Linked DNA regions of Cricetulus griseus. The protein of the gene in region 2 interacts with the protein of the main gene of each other region in a biochemical or structural test. Links are inferred from orthologs where the notes say so. Each region holds a gene or a part of one and is shown on either strand. Other genes may lie near its edges.

Region 1 (2,397 bases), on a different chromosome or scaffold from region 2:
GTGCTACACGTGTGTAAAAAATATTCTTAACAGGGTAAACAGAGAAAACAATGAAACTTACTTTTGCATTCAACAAACATTTATTAACACAAAAGTGAATAAGGCTTGTCCCTCTGCTCTCAGGACCTGGTGCAGAGAGGCAGACATTCACGAAGCTACAGTAGAATCACAGTTGAATAAGTACTATTTATCGAGGTATAGACAAAGTACTTTGGAGGCACAATAGGAGAGAAGGGGGGCAATTATCTACTTTATGCCTGCATAGGGGATCCAGGGAATGCTCCAGAGAAGTCATCTCTGAGTTGGTCTTAGAGGAATGAAGTCACCAAGTGTATAATTAAGAAAGGATCCTTGCAGGCTGGGGTTATATCGATCTAGGTAAGGCTAGGTAAATGAGGGACTCAGGGAATCAGGAATGGGGATGGGATGGGCATGAAGAGGGATAGGAGTTAGCAGGGCTGTTAAAACACAAAGCCAGAGTTCTACTGCAGAAATTAAAGATCTTGCTTCCCCATGAGGCAAAAGACTGAAAGCAGGGAGTTTAGGAGTTTCTCAGACATGGAACTCCCTGCCACTTTCTCAGTCAGATCATGGGGCTTAAACACCAAAAGCCAGAACTTCACAGTTAGGAACTAATTTCTCTAAGCCACAAAATTACTAAAAGGCCCCATTCAGAAGCTAAGGATGTATATGAATAATGAGTTCTAAATGGGAAAAATCTTGATGTTATCACTTTTTTCCAATATAGTTAACTCTGCATTGACATAAAACTAAAAAAATACATATGTTCACAAACCATTTTTGTCTTACCATTATCTTTCATTTATAACTTTTATATCCATCTATATTTCAATATACTTAAGTACAAAATAAAATTTTCAACTTTCAAGTACGTTCTTATTTACATATTCTTTTTTCAGTTGTCAATTTGTGAATATTCTTTTGAAACTTAAAATTTGCTATTATACTGAAATCTCTGAAGTTGAATTTATATAAGGTTCTCTTGTAATATTTTAAAAATTTGCTTCTCTTTTTGAAATATTTAAAACCAATTTTTTGTTTCCCCAAATTACCTTACACGTTGTTCTTTTAAACTACTTTATCTGATTTTGACTAAAATTTCATTTCATTCTATATTTTGAAAAATTTAAAACTCTTATAAGCATACTTCTGTAAATATTGGTTTTCCAATGCATATATTTTATGCTTTAGAATTTTAGAATCTATGCATTTTCACTTTAAACACTGAGTTTCTAAAAGAATTTCTTTTGCTATTTTTAAATTAAAGTGTTTATTTCAATAACTACCATATAAATTTTCATATTTCATCTTAAATTGTAAGAATTTCTAAATACTCTATTTTCACATACTAACAATTTGGGATCATTTTAAATTAAAAACATTTAAAAATATTTCTTCTAAAATACTTAACTTAAAATTTTGACATTTAAAATGTTCTCTTAAAACTTTCAAAAGCGTTTTTAACAATTTTTCTTTTAAAGCTTTAAAGTTTTTCTTTTTAAAATATTTGGTTGTTTTTTCAGACTATTTGTGCACTCATAACTAGAACTACACAATCAATTAAAAACCATTTTCCTAAAAGATACTTCCCCACTTAACACAATTATCTTTAAAGAAATAAAAAGCACATAGTAATTTGAATTTATCCGCACCTCCCTCCACCTTGATTTCCTTAATTTCTTTTTTGTGACCCTTTTTGACCTCTCCTCCCCTCCCCCAAATTCTTAAGGCTAAATGGCCACTGATAGTTCAATGTCTTCTTCTCATAGACCTATGGAACAAGTTAAAACAGTTCCTTTATGCCAAAGTGTCACTTGTTATATACTTGTTATGGTCACCGTTCACTCCAGGTAGATGTTTGTGTTTCTTTAAGAGGTGCTTGTTGTTGTGATGGCATTGCAATTGTCCGTTCCAGGTAGGCTTGTGTATCGATTCAGGATCCTTGCTCTTTGATTTTCTGCAAAGCCTTCTGGGTATGATTATTCTTTATCTACATCTTGCCTGTGATAGAACAGCAAATAGCCTTCACTATAGAGTAGCTCCTCCATTGTAGCCTTGGTGACGATGGCATCATCACAGCTGAACCACTGGTCCTTTTGTTGACGTACGAAGCTGGTGTAATGGCCACTTTCCAAAGTTCCGTGGTGGTTAATCACTGCAAACAAAGAATACTTATTCTCACTGGGCACACAGTCTGCTAATGGCTGGCCTTTCATTATGCTTTCTTTAGTAGAAGCCAGAAAGGGTGTCATGTCCAGCTCCAAAGGAAATGAGATAAAAGTGTTAATCTTGCGTCTCTGTTTGCCCAAATGTTCAAACCGTTTCAGATGAAAGCAGGCCACAATTGGCAATTTCTTCATTGTGAGCTGTTTGGTA
Region 2 (3,500 bases):
CAAACATGCACAGAGCAAATGCTGTGTCAGGGTAGGAAAGAAGTCATTAAAGGCAGAAGGAGTGGCTTAAACACTACTTCCTGTAGGAAGACTGGAGAAGTGGAAACCAAAGGGTAATTGAGAGAACTTCAGATGTTGCTTCAGGGTTTTGGCTGTGCTCGTGTCCACTGACATACCCGTGTGTTCATATTTGTGTCTCAGCAGTGAGCTGCTCTTCTGAAATATCTTGTCACACAGGTCACACGCATACATTCCATTCTCTGTCTTCCGAGTTTTCTTTTTGGGTGGCGTAGAGTCAGAGTCATTCTGGTCCTCCACGGTGGAAACTCCTTCTGAGCTAGTGTCTTGCCTTTCATCCTAAGGGAAAAAAAGAAGATTAAATTTCAAGATTTAAGAGATAGGATCAGTGACATGGCTCAGCAGGTAAAGGCACTTGCCACCAAGGCTGATGACCTGAGCTGGATCCATGGGATCCACATGGTGGAAGGAGAGAACTGGCTTCCACAAGCTGTCCTCTGACCTCCACGTGTGAGTGGTGGCATGTGAGATCCTCCACTGTCCATAAATAAACAAATGTAGGGAAATCAGATGCTGCACAGGAGATAAACTTCATGTTGGAAGGTTGCTTCCATCACCCTGACCACAAGAAGTACACACTATAATGATACTACACATGGGCTCCCGGGAGCACTAGCTCATGCTACAAACAGACAAAGAGAGGAAGAAGGAAAGCTGGAGGGATAGCAGCCACATTTACTTGGTTCTGGAAAATTATGATTTTATAGCAATTCTGCAGAAAGTTTTAACCACTGAGCTTGCTAGTTCATTATTCATTTACAACTTCATCATTTACCATACTTTTCATAAAAAAATCTGTATTTCACACAGTAAACACTAAGGCACACTGTTTAGAAAATATCTTTAAACCGTGTCCTCCATTCTAGAGGTTTTTGCGCTGGCTGCCTTGGTCTGACAAAGACAGCTTTGCTTTAGTCCACACTTTCTCTGGAATAAGAGGGTCTGTGATTTTTAAATAGGAGTAGTAGCTGCCTGTCAAAAAGAGCCCTACAATTCTCACAAAGTGAACAAAATATGACACAGAATCTCAGATGGTTTCAGGGAAGTCATTTGGGAGGAAGGCACTCTTCTCATTGGAATAACCCTGCAGAGGGCCTGTTGCAAACTTAGGTAAGCTAAGATCTTTGTGTTTTTCCTAAAGTCTTCCAGAGTTCTGCCTCTAAACCCACTGATCTCCTGAAAACAGCTATCTGCACCTGTCACTGTGGCTGCCAGTGCAGAAGTGACTCCACTTTACAGCTCTTTGACTCAACAGTCATTTGAAATGGTAAAAATTGTTTTCTTTAAATTCTAATGTGTCAAAAGGGCTGGAAGATGGCTAAGTGGGGGAAGATGCTTGCTCTGCAAGCATAAGGGTGAGTGCAGATCCATAGCACACATGTAAAAGTCAGGCACGTGTGCCCCTCATTTGTAATCCCACCACTGGAGTATATGTGAGTGTGTATAGAGAAGCAGATAGTGAGGACTTGCTACCAGCCCGTCTAGACAAAATGGGTTCAGTGAGAAACCCTGTCTCAAAAATAATAAGAGTGACTGCATTGTCAATCTCTGGCCTCTACATGCACACTCATGGTTAGACACACCTGTACATACGAAAGTATTCATTACACACACACTCACATACACACTAGTTTTTTTTTTTTTTATACATCAGAAATCTAATGTCATTGGTCACATGGATGTTTTCTTCAAGAGTTACTACAGTTCTGGGGAAGCCCATGGGTACAGTATTGAAAGGTCACCAAAGGGAACAGGGCACATCTGAGCAGGATACATATGTAACTACAGCTGTACTCGCAGTAAGATCAAACAGTCACCACTGGTGTTGGATTTAATTTAAAAAAAAAAAAACTGATGAAAAGGTGGTGACATAAAGGCTGGTGACATGGAAAAATTCTGGACAGACTTTGAGAAACATACAGCCATACAGTAGAGTTCTATCCAAAACTCAAACAAAGCAAGCAAAGCAATATCTGTCTAAAGAGGCAAATGCACACTCGGGGCACAGCAATACCTCCCCCCCCTCCCGCCTGCCCCTGGCCCCAGTAATTATGACTGAACACTTAATTTACAGCCCATGAATGCATGGGCTAAGTTCCCAGCATACTCTGTTTAACCAAAACCTCTTAACAAATGTGTTGGTACATAATGCACTAGTAAAGTCTTCCTGGTGTTTTATGGCAGATGGGCACACGATTATTTACTAATGATCATAAACAAAGTAAAAACTTACCAATTTGAGAATTCAGCTAAAAAACCAGACACCTAATTAATGAGTATAACTTTTCTCTTATGCTTCTAAGCTCAGGTATGTCTCTAGCTGAAGTCTATGCACTATTTTTCAGAGGAAAATACACTTTCAACTGTAGCTGATGCCTCCACCTCAGATTAGTAAGCAAAGGAAGGCATCCTGCCACACAAGGAAAGCAACTGCTTAAGTTCCTTTTAAACATGACAGTTGTATCAATCTGGTTGACTCTCCAGTGAATGGAGGGTTCGTCACTAGAAAGAGTTAGCTAGTACTTTACTAACCTGGTTTCCATTTGGCTGGATTACCTTCACTGGTGGTTCCTGCATTGCAGGGCCGACTGTAGTAGAGTATGTATAAGCCACCTGGGGAATCAGAATAGTCTGCTTGTTGGCAGCCAGTGCACGTAAGCAGGGAACACTGTTCTGGTCAGCAATGGCCACGATGGTGGGTAACTGGGCAGTGACTGTAGGAATAGCAATATTTATGGGGTTGGCACTTGGTGGGATTACATTTACAACTGGTTCTGAGTCTGTAACACAGCTGTCCTCTTGTGGCTCCTTTTTTACACAAGACAAGTTCAAGGGTTCTTCCTGGACAGAATAAACACTGTTCTGGTAAACACTACTGATAGTCGACCTTTCCAGTAACTCTCCCTGTTGCTTTGGTAGTGAGAGATCAAGAGGTTCCACTTGGGGCTCCTCCTGGGCACCATCCGCCACACAAAAGTAACCCTGCAGGTTCCTGGCCGAGGAAAGGTTTAGAGGTGACGGGGATGATGTGCAACTTCTGGAACCATTAATGGCTGAGCCTACTGGTAAAACTGGGGAGTTAGTCATCTTGAGAGGGCTCTGTCCACTCGTGCTGTCTTCCTGGGGCTCACTTCCATCTGTAGGTTGAGGCTGTTCGTTGCTCTTTGCAGGGATGTTTACTGTGCTCGTTTCTGGAGAAGGTGGCTCAGGAGACTGCCCTGGAATCTGTCCAGCTTGCATCTTTTCAAACCACTTCTTAACTACATCCAGTGGTAGGTTCACAGAGTCTGCAATCTTTGAGAGCTCTTCTGAGTTTGGCTGCGCGTTCAGAGCATAGTAGGCTTTTAAGAGCGACAGGAGGTTCTTTAAAGGTGGCTGACTGGGAGACAAATCGCCATCTCTGGCTGACGAAGCAGAGGCCT

The links.
Region 1: the proteins of Zeb1 (region 2) and ubiquitin carboxyl-terminal hydrolase 51 form a complex in vitro, tested with the Homo sapiens proteins (2 studies listed by BioGRID). The link is inferred for Cricetulus griseus from reciprocal best matches to the Homo sapiens genes ZEB1 and USP51.

What each region holds. Positions count from the first base shown.
Region 1 is NC_048604.1:110,911,854-110,914,250, reverse strand, and holds the end of ubiquitin carboxyl-terminal hydrolase 51, read right to left. Parts: coding exon 2,001-2,397; 3' UTR 62-2,000; downstream 1-61.
Region 2 is NC_048596.1:208,641,057-208,644,556, forward strand, and holds part of Zeb1 (zinc finger E-box-binding homeobox 1), read right to left. Parts: coding exon 2,611-3,500; intron 358-2,610; coding exon 177-357; intron 1-176. UniProt on the Homo sapiens protein: Acts as a transcriptional repressor. Inhibits interleukin-2 (IL-2) gene expression. Enhances or represses the promoter activity of the ATP1A1 gene depending on the quantity of cDNA and on the cell type.